Macaca mulatta: one gene and its partners. The protein of the gene in region 2 interacts with the protein of the main gene of each other region in a biochemical or structural test. Links are inferred from orthologs where the notes say so. Each region holds a gene or a part of one and is shown on either strand. Other genes may lie near its edges.

Evidence for each region.
Region 1: of the proteins of CDC25C (region 2) and CHEK2, one has a biochemical effect on the other in vitro, tested with the Homo sapiens proteins (14 studies listed by BioGRID). The link is inferred for Macaca mulatta from reciprocal best matches to the Homo sapiens genes CDC25C and CHEK2.
Region 3: of the proteins of CDC25C (region 2) and PLK3, one has a biochemical effect on the other in vitro, tested with the Homo sapiens proteins (2 studies listed by BioGRID, with this or other methods). The link is inferred for Macaca mulatta from reciprocal best matches to the Homo sapiens genes CDC25C and PLK3.
Region 4: of the proteins of CDC25C (region 2) and MARK3, one has a biochemical effect on the other in vitro, tested with the Homo sapiens proteins (3 studies listed by BioGRID, with this or other methods). The link is inferred for Macaca mulatta from reciprocal best matches to the Homo sapiens genes CDC25C and MARK3.

What each region holds. Positions count from the first base shown.
Region 1 is NC_133415.1:22,810,395-22,814,555, reverse strand, and holds the start of CHEK2 (serine/threonine-protein kinase Chk2), read right to left. Parts: upstream 2,801-4,161; 5' UTR 2,639-2,800; intron 2,625-2,638; exon of another isoform or gene 2,227-2,624; intron 1-2,226. Other genes in the region: iron-sulfur cluster co-chaperone protein HscB, read left to right, coding at 2,964-3,199. UniProt on the Homo sapiens protein: Serine/threonine-protein kinase which is required for checkpoint-mediated cell cycle arrest, activation of DNA repair and apoptosis in response to the presence of DNA double-strand breaks.
Region 2 is NC_133411.1:147,180,834-147,184,333, forward strand, and holds part of CDC25C (M-phase inducer phosphatase 3), read right to left. Parts: intron 2,663-3,500; coding exon 2,510-2,662; intron 1-2,509. UniProt on the Homo sapiens protein: Functions as a dosage-dependent inducer in mitotic control. Tyrosine protein phosphatase required for progression of the cell cycle. When phosphorylated, highly effective in activating G2 cells into prophase.
Region 3 is NC_133406.1:195,835,004-195,839,059, forward strand, and holds the start of PLK3 (serine/threonine-protein kinase PLK3), read right to left. Parts: upstream 2,801-4,056; 5' UTR 2,687-2,800; coding exon 2,594-2,686; intron 2,327-2,593; exon of another isoform or gene 2,234-2,326; coding exon of another isoform or gene 2,192-2,233; coding exon 2,024-2,191; intron 1,858-2,023; coding exon 1,750-1,857; intron 1,662-1,749; coding exon 1,545-1,661; intron 1,392-1,544; coding exon 1,262-1,391; intron 1,173-1,261; coding exon 1,085-1,172; intron 256-1,084; coding exon 160-255; intron 61-159; coding exon 1-60. UniProt on the Homo sapiens protein: Serine/threonine-protein kinase involved in cell cycle regulation, response to stress and Golgi disassembly. Polo-like kinases act by binding and phosphorylating proteins that are already phosphorylated on a specific motif recognized by the POLO box domains.
Region 4 is NC_133412.1:176,804,146-176,808,189, reverse strand, and holds the start of MARK3 (MAP/microtubule affinity-regulating kinase 3), read right to left. Parts: upstream 2,801-4,044; 5' UTR 2,641-2,800; exon of another isoform or gene 2,565-2,640; 5' UTR 2,162-2,564; coding exon 2,111-2,161; intron 1-2,110. UniProt on the Homo sapiens protein: Serine/threonine-protein kinase. Involved in the specific phosphorylation of microtubule-associated proteins for MAP2 and MAP4. Phosphorylates the microtubule-associated protein MAPT/TAU. Phosphorylates CDC25C on 'Ser-216'.

The DNA.
Region 1 (4,161 bases), on a different chromosome or scaffold from region 2:
CGGGCAGATCACTTGAGGTCAGGAGTTTGAGACCAGCCTGGCCAACATGGTGAAACCCTGTCTCCACTAAAAATATGAAAATTAGCTGGGCATGGTGGCAGGTGTCTATAATCCCAGCTACTTGGGAGGCTGAGGCAGGAGAATCGCTTGAACCTGGGAGGCAGAGAATGCAGTGAGTCAAAATCGCACCACTGCATTCCAGCCTAGGCGACAGAGTAAGACTCTGTCTCAAACAAACAAACAAACAAACAAACCTACAATGAGATACCATCTCACCCCAGTTAAAATGGTTTGAATAAAAGACAGGCAATAACAGATGCTGGGAAGAATGTGGAGAAAGGGGAACTGTACAGAGTGCTCTTGACATAAGTAATTTTATCTTAGAAAAAGGCTCTTGTGGCCGGGCGCGGTGGCTCAAGCCTGTAATCCCAGCACTTTGGGAGGCCGAGGCGGGTGGATCACGAGGTCAGGAGATCGAGACTATCCTGGCTAACACGGTGAAACCCCGTCTCTACTAAAAATACAAAAAACTAGCCGGGCGTGGTGGCGGGCGCCTGTAGTCTCAGCTACTCGGGAGGCTGAGGCGGGAGAATGGCGTGAACCCGGGAGGCGGAACTTGCAGTGAGCCGAGATCACGCCACTGCACTCCAGCCTGGGAGACACAGCGAGACTCCGTCTCAAAAAAAAAAAAAAAAAAAAAAAAAAAAAAGGCTCTTGTATTTTAAAAGGCATTATGCCAATAGGGACCAGATGTTTGTCTAATTAATAAAGACTGTACTGGCCAGGCACAGTGGTTCACGCCTGTAATCCCAGCACTTTGGGAGGCCAAGGCAGACGGATCACAAAGTCAGGAGATCAAGACCATCCTGGCCATCATGGTGAAACCCCGACTCTACTAAAAATACAAAACTTAGCTGGGCGTGGTGTCACGTGCCTGTAATCCCAGCTACTTGGGAGGCTGAGGCAGGAGAATCGCTTGAACCAGGGAGTCTGAAGTTGCAGTGATCCGAGATCACGCCACTGCACTCTAGCCTGCGAGAGACAAAGCGAGACTCTGTCTCAAAAAAAAAAACAAAAAAAGACGGTACTAAACCAGATAAGGACATAAACATGTACACGCTTTTGTTATTAGTCCTTACCAGAAAATTTTGTGGTCATAAGACCAGGACTTTATTAGGTCAGAATGGCTGTCCTAACAGACACCATCTTGCTGTCACTCACGATTAACACCCAGCATCTGCCACCAAAGGCTCATCCACATCAAAAACTCTTCCTTACAAGACACTGACACCCCAGATCAAGCCAAAACACTCTCTTTGTCCACATTGCTCTCCTTGGACTGGTTTGATAACCGCTTTCCCTATCCCCTTTTCTCTGAATGTTAAATGTTACTTTAATGTAAGATTTTTAACCTATAACATTTATATATTAAATAACTATACTATTGTGTATAATTTACAATGCTGACTGACTTGTGGAATGGCTTCAGCCTGTGTGCCCATGGTTCTGACTACCAAGTAAACAGGTAGTACTACAGAAAATTGCTTCCTTGGGAACTCCATGTAGCTCGTGGCTTTTACAATTAAAATAAAACATCAGTAAGTCTGATCTTGTGGAAAAACACAAATGTTCACGGACCTAGTTATGTCTGACCTTGCCCTGTTCACATACACCATTGGTGGGAATGCAAATTAGTATAGCCACTAATCACAAAAGTATTGTGATTCCTCAAAAAACTGAAATTAGGCTGGGTGCAGTGGCTCACACCTGTAATCCCAGCACTTTGGGAGGCCAAGGCGGGTGGATCACCTGAGGTCAGGAGTTCAAGACCAGCCTGGCCAACATGGTAAAACCCCATCTCTACTAAAAATACTAGCCGGGCATGGTGGCGGGCACCTATAATCCTAGATACTTTGGAGGCTGAGGCAGGAGAACCGCTTGAACCCAGGAGGCAGAAGTTGCAGTGAGCCCAGATCGCGCCACTGCACTCCAGCCTGGCAACAGAGAGAGACTCCGTCTCAAAAAAAAAAAAAAAAAGGTACATATGTGGTACTCATACATGTATACTTTATATCAAAAATAAATAATTTTTTTAAAAAAGTCCAGAAGGCTTTCAAGTGAAACACAATCTTTTTTTTCAAGTAGAAAACCTAAGTCCGAAGGAGGACTGATTCCCTCCTACCCACTCCTGGCCACCCTATCCCATACACTTACTTAGGGACTTACTTAGGGACACGCAGAACATCCTCCTACACAGCTCAGTGCGTTTCCAGTTCCTGCAGCGCCCAGTAGCTAAGACTGGCCTCTCTATAAGTATTTTAGAGATTGAATCTAAAGAATGGCAATGATTACTAACATCTATAGAACTTTTTACAAAGTAACTTCGCTCTGATATTGAAGAACACAACTCTGTTCCTTCTTATCCTGTCCGTTCAGGCCTGTTTCAGCTTGTAAGTAATACGGGAAGTGAACTTCACCTCGAGGATGATCTACTAAAAAGGAAGAGAGTCGCCCACACACTCCCCCTTCAGTACAAAAATACAGACAAAGCGAAGCTCAGGAGACTCCGCTCGCACGAAACGCTGAAGATGGGATTCGAACCACCAAACACCCAACAGAAGTTCCCAATATGACTCACCGCGTGAGCCCACCTGGAGCCGCACACTCTCCACAGCCTCAGCCTGCAGTGGCGCTAAACCTGCAGATACAAACTCCACCCTCAGCCAATCAAAACCCTCTCCCCTGCCGCCGGACCAATGAGGAGCAGCAGATGTGGCCGTCAGGCATCGCCTCAATGCTTCCTGGGAGTTGTAGTTTAGAAGGCAGAGCGGAACTTAGAACTCGGGTTCCCCTCGGGTGATCCCGCCCCCTCGACTCCCCAGCCAATCAGCAGCATTAGTCTGGTTGGACGCTCTCTTTGCTTTTCCCCACGGGTGACCACGGCTAGCTAGGCCGCCGGCGAGATGTGGCGGGGGAGAGTCGGGGCTTTGCTCCGGGTGTGGGGGTTTTGGCCGACAGGGGGTCCCAGAAGGAGACTGCTAAGCTGCGATGCTGCGTCGCAGGCGGAAAGCAATTCTCCCCACTGCTGGAACTGCGGCGGCCCATGGGGCCCCGGGCGGGAGGACAGGTTCTTCTGCCCACAGTGCAGAGCGCTGCAGGCACCTGACCCCACTCGAGACTACTTCAGCCTTATGGACTGGTACGAGCGACTGTTTCGGGAAACGGGCCCGGGCGAGAGAGACGTCGGGGTCTGGCCTGCGAGAGGGGAGGACGGATCTGGCTTGCGGAAGAGAAGGCGGGACCGATAGGGGGGCGGAGGTCTAGAGAGCAGGCGTGAGAGAAGTGTCTTGATTTCTCAGGAGGAAATTGAGAGGCGGGGACTGAGGGAAGCAGCGTTGAGGTGTGGAGAAGGGAGACGAACGAGACTGGAGGGGCGGGCGCTGAAGTTAGAGGAAATAGGGGGGCCGAGGCTAGAGGGGAGGGAAATTTGAGGGGCGGTACCTACGGGAAAGGGAAGGAGAAGTCGAGGGGCGGAGCTTGAGGAAGGGGTACTTGAGGGGCAGGGCCCGGGAGACTGGAAGAGTTGGTTTGATGTATTTAAGAAAGGACTGCAGAAGTGTAGTCCGAAATTGGGGAGTAAAGCATGAAAATCTTAATATTGTAGGCGAGACCTGAGGGAAAAGTGAGAATTCGAGGGAAAGGGTCCAATAAATAGTTTTTTCCCCTGAGGCTGACGATCTTGGAGAGATGGGGCAGTGTGGATAGAGCTGAACTGATAAGGAAATAGGACAGACTCTGGGAGTAGAGTGTGAACGGGGTTGAATTAAAATAAACCGGGAGACAGGGATGAAGGGACCTGGGCTGTGGAAAAGATAGGGTGGTATTAAAGAAAACGTTATTCAGTCACACTTGTTCAAACACCAGAAAGACTTTATTCAAGATCATCTTGGCCGGGCGCGGTGGCTCACGCCTGTAATCCCAGCACTTTGGGAGGCCGAGGCGGGCGGATCACAAGGTCAGAAGATCGAGACCACGGTGAAACCCTGTCTCTACTAAAAATACAAAAAATTAGCCGGCCGCGGTGGCGGGCGCCTGTAGTCCCAGCTACTCCGGAGGCTGAGGCAGGAGAATGGCGTGAACCCAGGAGGCGGAGCTTGCAGT
Region 2 (3,500 bases):
TCCCCTCTGAGGTCCATAAAAGCCCCAGGCTCAGCCACAACAGGGTAGAGGATGGAGAAAAGATCAGACAGCCAGAAAGGAGAGAGAAGCTATGCTCTCTGCTGAGAGCTGGGAAGTCAACAGGTAGGACCTGCCTGAAGAGAGGAGCCACCCACTCCAGGGCCTCCTCTCTGCTGAGAGCTGAATACCGGATAAGACAAACTGCCTACAGAGAAGAGCTAGCCCCTGTGAGTCTCCTCTGAGCTGTTCTAACACTCAATAGAGCTTCTCTTCGTCTTGCTTACTCTCCACTTGCCTGCGTACCTCGATGCAGGACAAGAACTCAGGCAAAGGCACCACTGGCCACAGAGGTTTCTAGCCAGAAAAGCAACACCCTAAAGATCCCACAACAAAGGCAAGAGGATTGCTGGAGCCCAGGAGTTCCAAACCAGCTTGGGCAACACACCAAGACCCCATCTCTACAAACAATTTTAAAAATTAGCTGGGCATGGTGGTATGCACCTATAGTCCTAGCTACTCAGGAGGCTGAGGTGGGAGGATTGCTTGAGCCCAGGAATTCAACACTGCACTCCAGTCTGGGTGATAGAGCAGAGCAAGACTCTATCTAATTAATTAAATAATTAAAAAAATAAAAGCATGAGGACTAGAATGCAACTGTTCTAACTCCACTATACCATATTGGCCTTGTGAAATGAATAAATTTTAAAGACAAACTCATAGCTCTACCTGTTTCAAAGCAACAAAGTTGATTTAGAAATGCTAAATACAGGCCTGGCATGGTGGCTCACGCCTGTAATCCCAGCACTTTGGGAGGCCAAGGTGTGTGAATCATTTGAGCCCAGGAGTTTGAGACTAGCCTGGGCAATACTGTGAAACCACGTCTCTACAAAAAATACAAAAAATTAGCCAGGTATGGTGGCATGTGCCTATAGTCCCAGCTACTCAGAGGCTGAGGTGGGAGGACTGCCTGAGCCTGGGGAGACCGAGGCTGCAGTGAGCTTTAATTGTGCCACTGTACCCCAGCCTGGGCTACAGAGCAAGACCCTATCTCAAAAAAAAAAAAAAGCTAAATGCCTCAGAAACTATCTTTGGCATATCAGCATATAGGCTATAACCCACATGCTTCAGGTATATCTATCGGTGATATGGGAAAGATAAAAGGAAACAAAAGACTGTATTATAAAATACCTAAAAAGTCATGTTAGGTATATTCTATACATTACTACTATCCTGGAGACATTACTTATACTAGGTTACTTTGATGGTGATCCACTCAAACTATTGACTGGAGCCTGTTCACCAGCAGTAAGAAGATTCCTGTAGTAACCTGATAACCTATCAGTCAGGTAGCCCTCAGTCTAAAGATAGGTTAGGCCAGGCACGGTGGCTCATGCCTGTAATCCCAGCTCTTTGGGAAGCCAAGGCGGGCAGATCACTTGCGGTCAGGAGTTTGAGACCTGTCTGGCCAACATGTCAAAACCCCGTCTCTACTAAAATTACAAAACATTAGCCAGGCATGGTGGCATGCTTTGGGGGGCTGAGGCAAGAGAATTGCTTAAACCTGGGAGACAGAGGTTGCAGTGAGCCAAGATAACACCACTGCACTCCAGCCTAGGTGACACAGCAAGACTCCATTTAAAAAAATAAATAAATAAAGATAGGTTATCACATCTTGTTGATCTCTGTAGCTCCAGCATTTAGTAGAGTGACTCATACGTATTAGGCATAAAATATTGTTTATTCAAGAATGAATTGTTGGCTGGGCATGGTGGCTCACGCTTATAATCCCAGCACTTTGGAAGGCTGAGGCGGGTGGATCACCTGAGACCAGTTCAAGACCAGCCTGGCCAACATGGTGAAACCCTGTCTCTACTAAAAATACTAAAAATTACCCGGGTGTGGCGCTGCGCTACTCTAGTGGCTGAGGCGGGAGAATCGCTTGAACCTGGGAAGAGGAGGTTGCTGTGAGCTAAGATGGCACCACTGCACTCCAGCCTAGGCAACAGAGCGAGAATCTGTCTCAAAAAAAAAAAAGAATGAATTGTTAATTAAACTAAATTTGGCCTGCGGATGCCTCTGTACTTGAGTCTTTACATACCAAGTTGCAACCTAACTTAGTACTTCAACTGAAAGCCTAATTGAGAAGTATACTTTTGTATCAAAAAGCTGAGTCTCAGGAAAGCAGAGCAGCTGAGCTTCAGTCAACCACAATCAATCAACTGTTTAAACCATGTTCAAATGAGGTAAACTCAAGGCTGTAACCAACTGGGCTGTCTCTGTACCTCACTTCTGTTTTCTATACTTCATTTCTATTTTCTGTCCATAATACTGCCTGACCACATGGCAAACTGGAGTTTTACTGAATATGTTCTGGCTATGAGGGATGCTGGATTCACTAGTTATTTTTTTGCTCAAATAAACTCTCCTAAGTTTAATTTGTCTCAAGTTTTTCTTTTAACAGAATGAAGGAATATGAAGAATGCAAAGATACTATCACAGAATACTTTACCTTTGCTTCTTGATCTTCCAGGGAAAACTCCATTAATTCATTTGAAATCTCTTCTGCCTGGTCTTCTCCTAGGTTTGGATTTGTATCCAACTTTGGAGCAGTAATAGGACTGCCCAGATATTTCATTTCACTGTCCACCAATTTTCCGTTGTCCTATCAAGTATATTGACAACATTAAAAACTATTCAAAATATATCAAAGTCCTAAATGTAAGAGCTAAAACTATAAAACTCTTAGAAGAAAACATAAGGGAAAAAATTCATGACATTGGATTTGGATAATGCCACTAAAAGCACAGATAATGAAAGAAAAAAATAGATAAATTAGTCTTCATCAAAATGAAAAACTTTTGTGCATCAAAGAACGCCATTAAGGGATTGAAAAGGCAACCCACAAAATGGGAGAAAATATTTGCAAGTCTTATATTTGATGAGGGATTAATATCAGAATATATAAGGAACTCCTACAACTCAATAACAAACACAATAACAATCAAAAGGGACATGAATAGACATTTCTCCAAAGAAGATACACAAATGGCCCATAAGTACATCAAAAGATGCTCAACATAAGTAATCATTACGGAAATGCATATCAAAATTGCAATGAGATACTACTTTATACCCATTAGGATGGCCATTATAAGAAATAACAAGTGTTTGTGCATTGCTGGTGGGAATGCAAAAGGGTGCAGAGGCACTCTATGGATACTAGCATGCTAGTTCCTCAAAAAATTAAACATAGAATCATCATATAATCAAGCAATTCTACTTATGAATATATACCCAAAAGAATTAAAAACAGGGGCCAGGCGCGGCAGCTCACACTTGTAATCCCAGTACTTTGGGATTACAAGCCGAGGCGGGCGGATTACGAGGTCAGGAGTTCAAGAGCAGCCTGGCCAACATGTTGAAACCCCATCTCTACTAAAAATACAAAAATTAGCCGGGTATGGTAGTATGTGCTTGTAATCCCAGCTACTTGGGAGGCT
Region 3 (4,056 bases), on a different chromosome or scaffold from region 2:
CGGTACGTCTCCTTCAGGTCAGCTGTCTCAAAGGGAGGGCTCCCGCAGAGCAGCGTGTACCTATAGGGCAGGGCCAAGGGGTCAGGAGTAAAGTGGAGGGGATACCCCACCCACACACCCACCACCTGTCTGCTGCCGAACCTGGACCCTGCGACTCACATGACACAGCCCAGTGACCACACATCCGCCTCGGGCCCATGGCCCTGTCTCAGTAGCACTTCTGGAGCCACATAGTTGGGGGTGCCACAGATGGTCCTGAAAGAGGGTGGGGAGGAGGAGAAAAGGCTGAGACCCAGCCCAGCAGCCCCCCCACCCCTTCCCCCACTGTGAGTCCAGACAAAGCAGCTGCCTGTCACCAAAGGCCAGAGAACTCCTGCTTGTCCTGGGACAATGGATGCCAGGGATGGCAGCTGAGTCCCCGCCCACCCGCCTGGCCCAGCTGCTCAGCTGCTCTTCATGACAGGGGGAGGGCCTGACCCCCAGCCCAGTCCCCTCCTCCAGGGTCAACACAGAGAGTCCACAGCTGATCCCTTCCCCCTTCCTCACTCCTGTCTCTCAGACAGTCATCAGGCTGTCACCTCCCATGGTTTGTGCCACACACACACCAACACCAGCTGTCACAACCCCCATAAACACTTATCTGCCACATATGCTGTCTGTGTCACACACACAAAGTACGATGGCCACAGCAGGGTCTTCTTACACCCAGTGTCATATCCTACCATTCCCACACTCTCAGTCTGTCTCTCACACACAAACACACACACACGCTGCCTGTAACCTTCCCCTATCCACACGAAGGGTAAGTCATATGCCTCCAAGAATCTGTACACCCCTATCTGTCTCAGGGACTCAGGGTCACCTACCCTATCTGTGTCACACACCTATAGGATTCTACCCCTCTCCACTGGTCCCGGTAACACAGGCTGCCACCTCCACCTTCACACATGCATAAACAGCCCCTCATCCCTTCCCATTTATCTCATGCACACATCAAGCAGTCACCTTGCCTCCCACATACATATGCACTGTCTGTCACGCATGTCATCTGTATCACACACAGGCTCCTTTCTTCAAAACTCACTTCTTCCTCTGCTCCGGAGGCTCCAACCGGGCTGCCAGCCCAAAATCCCCCACCTTCAGTTCCATGTTCTCAGTGATGAAAAAATTTCCTAGATGGGGAAAGAGAGGTGTGTCAGATTCTTTCCTTCCTTCCTCCCTCCCTCCCCAACCTCCCATCCTCCAGGCTCAGGAGTCTCACCCAACTTGAGGTCCCGGTGCAAGATGCCGCGCTGGTGCAAGTACTTGAGGCCGGAAAGAATCTGCCGCAGGTAGTAGCGCACTTCTGGCTCCAACAGGGTGTGCCGGGCCTTCCAGATGTGGGCCAGGGACTGCAAAGAGCCACTGCCTCAGCCCCTGGTGAGCCCTCCCTCCCCCTTCCCCTCCATCTGTGCTCCCAGAGGAAGAAACAAGGCCCGAGCTTTGGGTCTTAAGACTCTCTTCTCTCCTTCACCCTCATCCCTGCGGGTATCACCATCTTTCACCTTTCGACTGCAGAGCTCCAGGAAAATGTAGATGTTGTCAGCGTCCTCAAAGTGGTGCGAAAAACGCACGATGTGGCGGTGCTGCAGGTCTCGGTGCAGCTCAATCTCATTTAGGATCTGCGATGAGGGCGCAGGGTCGTCATCCTTCCATGGTTCCCATGCCACCGTCCCCACCCCACCCCTCGCCCGCTGAGCCTGGACCTACCTTCTCGCGCTGATGCGGCTTGGCGACGCGGCTCTGCGGGATGACTTTGACAGCGTAGGCGCTGCCAGTCTCTGTGTCAGTGGCCTCGTAGCAGCGGGCGAAGCCCCCCTGTGAAGAGGGGGCGTCAGGCTGGGTGTTCCAGGGGGGCCGACTCTGGCCCGCGGGCGTCCCCGCGTTGGGGGTCAAGTGGCCACGCCCGGCTTGGTGCCAGAAATGAGGCCGGCCGAGACCCCCACCTCCACCATCACCACCCCGCGGACGTCCCCCGGCCCACCTTGCCCAACAAGCGGCCTTTGAAGTAGGTGCGGCCACTGCGCGGGTCCGTGATGAGGCGCCCGGGGTCTGACGTCGGTAGCCCGGCCAGCATCTCCAGCTCAGGTCCGGGCAAGGCACTCGGAGGCGGCCCGGGCCCGGCCGGGGGAGCGGGCTCGGCGGCCGCACGCTGGAAGGGGCGCGGGGACAGGAAACCAGTGGCGGGCTCCATGCGGGCGGCGCGTCGCAGCGCGGGCCCGGCTTCTTCTCGGTTCCGCCCGGCCCCGGCCGCGCGTGGCGCTGCCTGTATTTGCTACGCTGCGCTCGCGCCCGGGGGAGCCCAGCGTTTTTATCAATGAACGCCTGCCCCCTCCCCGGCGTCTCGTCACCAAGAGTCCCGCCCCCTTCCTGGCAGCGAGTCGAGGAGAGGCCCCTCCCATGCCCGGCCTTACATCACCCAGAAGCTCCTCCCCCCCCCAACGCACTGCCAGGCCCCGCCTCCTGGCTGCGCCCCGGGGCGCAGCCCGGCAGCTAGTCACCATGCAGGTGCGACCAGGCCGCCGGGGCCAGCTGATCCCTGTCCGCTTCTCACCCCTCCTTGGCCACTGCGAGTCCCGCTCATGGGGGCCTCTTTCTTTCCCCATCCTTCGGGGCGTGTGCTGAAGTCCGAGTGGGGCCCGGGCATCTGGGGGCGTCCCCCAGCAACTAGATAGATCAGCGTTCCAGCCAGCAGCTGAGAGGCAGGGGCGGCGCTCGCTTTTCCCCAGGCGTGTCACCCGACACTCCCCTTTCAGTGTGCCGGACCGCGTGTGTCCCTCCCCCTCGCCCGGGGCCCGGCCCAGTGCTGCCCTCTTTAGGGCCTGGAAGGAAGGCACAGTCTCGCGCCTGGCTTGCCTGGCCTGAGGGCTGCCTTGCCAGGTTTAGGAGTCCAGTCAAGCAGAGACTGGACCCTTTTACCATGCTCCAGGCCACATCTTCCGCTACCCACTTCTACACTCTTGAGGGGCAGATTTCGGGTTCCTGCGGGGTCCCCAATTCCCTTCCTCTGAAAATACCCGCGGGCCTGGGTCAGCAGCCAGAAGGCCAGAAAGTGAATGGGAATTGGATTTTCTTTTTTCTTTTTTTTTTTTTTTTTGAGACGGAGTCTCACTGTGTCGCCCAGGTTGGAGTGCAGTGGCGCAATCTCCGCTCACTGCAAGCTCTGCCGCCTCCCAGGTTCACACCATTCTCCTGGCTCAGCCACCCTAGAAGCTGGGACTACAGGGTGCCCGCCACCACGCCCGGCTAATTTTTTTTGTATTTTTAGTATAGTAGAGATGGGGTTTCATCGTGTTTGCCAGGATGATCTCGATCTCCTGACCTCGTGATCCGCCCGCCTCGGCCTCCCAAAGTGCTGGGATTACAGGCGTGAGCCACCGCGCCCGGCCCTTTTTTTTTTTTTTTTTTTTTTTTTTTTTTTTTTTTTTTTTTTTTGAGACAGAGTTTCGCTCTTGTTGCCCAGGCTGGAGTGCAATGGCGCGATCTTGACTCACCCCAAACTCTGCCTTCCAAGTTCAAGCGATTCTCCTGCCTCAGCCTCCCAAGCAGCTGGGATTACAGGCGTGCGCCATCACACCCGGCTAATTTTGTATTTTTTTTTTTTTAAGTAGAGATAGGGTTTCTCCACGTTGGTCAGACTGATCTGGAACTCCCAGACTCAGGTGATCTGCCCACTTCAGCCTCCCAAAGTGTTGGGATTACAGGCGTGAGCCACCGCGCCTGGCCGGGAATTGGATTTTCTCAAATGCTAGACACGGGCAATTGGGCAGCTAGTCTCTGGACCATGTGGACCCCTAGACCCCTGCGCAATGCCCGAGACAGAGGCCCAAGACCACAGGTCTCCTAGCCTTGTCTCTCACCTCTCTGCCCACCCTCTGCACCAGCCAATCAATTACCATGCCATTCCTCAAAAGATTTATTGAGAGCATCTGCTAAGTGCTGGACACTATCTCAAATAAAACTAATCAAGCTTGCAGCCCTCATTTAGTTTACATTCTGCTTGATGGAAACAGACAA
Region 4 (4,044 bases), on a different chromosome or scaffold from region 2:
GTGATACCAGCACTTTGGGAGGCCGAAGCGGGCGGATCACCTGAGGTCAGATTGAGACCAGCATGACAAACATGGAGAAACCTCTTCTCTACTAAAAATACAAAATTAGCCCGGAGTGGTGGCGCATGCCTGTAATCCTAGCTACTCAGGAGGCTGAGGCAGGAGAATCACTTGAACCTGGGAGGTGGAAGTTGCAGTGAGCCGAGATCGTGTCACAGCACTCCAGTCTGAGAGACAGAGCCAGACTCCATCTCAAAAAAGAAAGAGAGAAAGAAGACCCATTTGAAATCCTTCATTATCACAAATCTGCTATGACTGTTTTTGGCTTCAGTTTAGAAAGCATGGAGCTCCTACTCTGGTTCAACGTAAAGTTTTGCTTCTCTGAGTGAATATCAATGATCAAAACTAATCAGTTGGGCACACTGGCTCACGCCTGTAATATCAGCACTTTGAGGGGCCGAGGCGGGTGGATCACATGAGGCCAAGAGTTCTAGACCAGCCTGGCCAACATGGTGAAACCCTGTCTACTAAAAATACAAAAATGCAAGCCAGGCGTGGTGGTGCATGCCTGTAATCTCAGCTACTCGGGAGGCTGAGGCATGATAATCACTTCAGCCTGGGAGGCGAAGGCTGCAGTGAGCCAAGATCGCACCACCACACTCCAGCCTGGGAGACAGTCAGCCTGGGAGACAGTCTCGGTCTGTCTCAAAAAAAAAAAAACAAAAAAAGGTTTCTTTAAAAGGACCATAAGAAAATAGTTCCCTGACTCACCTAGTCTAAGAGTTTCTATTACTCGCTCTTTATATAATTTTCTAATCTCTCTCAGGTGGAGAAAGGTACACCACTGTTCTACTCACTAAGGGCTAAAGAGCATTAAATATTATACACTAATATGCTACAGGGATGTTTTAGGCTATGGTTTTACGTTTACAGATTAAATTATCAAATAGCTATCCAGCAAACAAGTGGCATTTTTGAAGATCAAAATTAAAACATTGACACCACTAGGCCATAACATCTCAGGACATTACTGAAAGCATGAAAACACTCAAAGCAAGGAAGCATTCCCTAAGAGAAGACATTTCGTGCCAGCAATTACCTCATAACACTTTTAATGAAAGGCCAGTGAAGTTTCTTTACAAGTTATTTACTAGACGTTTTACAGAATATAGGAAACAACTAGATTGAAACACTTTTGAAGCCAGTGTTAGAGGAGAGTTCAGAAAACGAACAGAGTTTGTCAAACGTTTCTTCAATGGCATTTCTACTACAAGTTCTCATTCTCTAGCAATGCTGTTCCTGGCATTTTGTAGTTTCACATGCACAAAATCAAAGGTTCCTTTTATAAAATCATAGCCTGTGAGCGCTGAAACGGACCTAAGAGCTCATCTAAGTCAACCTCTTTTTAGGAAGGAGGACAGCGAAGCCCCAGCGGGTGTCCCTCAGCTAGGCAGTGAGTGGCAGAGCACAACTTCACTATACATCTGCTTTTCTGCTTTTTAAAATGTTTAACTCCTTCAAAAAAGATTTGTATGGAAAGGAACCTATGCCTTAATAAAGGCTGCGCGCTAGTGTTTTGGAATTCCTAAGGGGACCGCAAAGATCCCTCAGTAGACACTTAGTGACTGTGATTAAATTTAGTTCCATCTTAAAAGAACGAGACAGCCCACTTGACTCAATCGATTACTCTTAATCAGCACCAGTACATATGGTATTAATATGATAGTCTCTCAAGAAATGCCTGACCAAGTTAAAAGCAGAGTTCGGTTAAAATAAGCACTGACCACTGCAGTGATCTGACACGCACACTTGCACAATCCATTGAGCGGCAACCCGGCCTCTCAAAGCACCGATTCGTAACGATGCAACTTATGGGCTTTACTAATCGACTAGACTGCAGGCATAATCGATATACTTCGTGGACCCGCCCGCGGGACAGGGCGGACTTCTGGAGGAAACGGTCCGACCTGGCTGCCTCTTGGGTGACTACGGCCTGCCCTCTATTTCCAGAGCGTTCGGGCTGGGGGGGAACACCCGACTGCAAGGCACTGCCCGAGGAGCACGAAGGCCACCCCGAAGGTCCGCCAACTACAACGCCCAGGTTACTTACGTTTTCAGTGTCTCGTTCATTCACCGTTGGCAATGGGGTCCTAGTGGACATTTTACTGCACTTTAATTCTGCACAATGCGAGGGCGAAAACAAAACAGCACAGCCCTAGGAGGCCGGCGACCAGCGTCCTCGAGTCCACGGCAGTTTCGAAGCGGCGCCGTGGGGAAGGCGGCTCCCTTCCCTCTACGGCCGTCTAGATCCCGGGCCTGGCCCGGGCCGTCCCCCGGCGGGTCCCGGGGCTCATTCTCTCCCTGCCCCGGCGGCCGAGGCGAGGAGCCCGGGAGGGCGGCAGTGGCGGAGCCGAGCCTGCGGCGAGCTGCCGGCTTCGGCCCGCCGGCGTCCCCTCGCCTCAGGGCGCCCCGCGATCCCGGGCCCCCTCGCCTCCTTCTCCACTCCCGCCCGTCGCGCCGCGAATTTCAGCTCCCGGGCCTCCACACAGCGCCGCCGGCGGCGTCTGAAAAAGAGGAGGCGGAGGAGGATGTGAAGGAAGTGGAGCGCAAGACAGGCCGCCGCGGGCTGTGGGCGCTGACCATGGAGCGGGCTGCGGAGGAGGCGCCTGCGCCCGGCTGCTTCTCCCTCTCTAGCGAGCTTGCTGCCTCAGCCTCCGCCCTGCTGGCCGCCGCTGCTGCCGCCGCACCCCGGCACCTCGGAGCCTCACGGACCCAAGATGGCCGCTCCTCGGCTTCCTCTGCTGCCTCCGGCTGCCGGAAGTGACGACAGGCCGCCTCCCGGAGTCCCGCCAATCAGCGTGGCCTGAGAAAGCCGGCCCGGCTGTTGTTGCTAGGGGCGACTTGGCCCAGACCCCGCCGCGGGGGCGGTGAAGAGGGCGGGGAAGCGCTGGCCGGGTCTCCACTGACTACCGCGGGCGGCGGGTTCCTCCTGTACGGAGCGCTCCGGCAACCCCGAAAGAGCCGAGAAACGGCCCTGGGCGACAGCCAGAGCCCTCCCGCTGAGTTGGCATTTACAGACTACAGGCCTGGGTTGGCTGGATTACAGATCGAGAGCCTACTGTGCACAAAAGTTGCGGTTGCATCCTTCGGACTGCGCTGCACCGACTGGAGCCCCAGCATTAATGACAGGGCCGGGGCTACGGGAAGGAGCCGGGCTCTTGCATCCTTAACTGTGACCCGGGCGTCAGGCTCTCGCCCACAAACCTTCCCGTCTCCGGATCTGAGCAGCTGCGGGCTGGGCCGGACTCCGAGGGCAGCAGGAGCCTCTTGCCCTCAAGGAGCTGGTGGTCAGGCGGGTGACAGACCTGGACCCAGCTAAATGCCATCCGGATGGAAGAGTGCAATAACGAGGGTGGCACAAAGGGGATGGAGTCGGGGGCGAAATGAATCTGTAGAGGCCCCCAGGGACCAGTTCCTAAATGCCTGTGCGGAATTTATAAGCAGAGTTTTCTTACAGTCAGTGCGTCGCTGCTGGAGACTGGAAGCATCTTTGGGTGCCAGCCTCGGGCCAGACTCGGTAGACGCCTGCAGGCGGGAACCCTGGAAATGCTACCTGACCTAGAAACCTTCCTTGCCCATTCACCTCTTCACGTGTTCGGTGCCTCTACTCAGCTCCTGGCCAGCGGTGGATGGAATCCATGGGTGCAGGGTCCGAAGAGGGAGAGTAGTGTGGGATGGGGGTGACACTAACTGTTACCGAGAGTCAAGTCTACCTTGTAGGTTCATGACATTTGTTACCTCATTTAGCCTCAGGGTAACCCTGTGAGATGGACAGACACACATGCGATCCGAAGTCTAGACAGGTACAGTGACTTGGCTAAAGTACACAGGTTGGTTAGCGACAGAGCTGGGATTCTAACCTAGTTCCCAAAGCTTGGATAATAGGTAAGCCCTTGTAGTGGGTGGCTATGTCATGCTTGCTTCCCCTTTGATCCGTTGGCATCCCAACTGTCTTGCGATGTTTGAGACCTTTCTTGCTCCAGG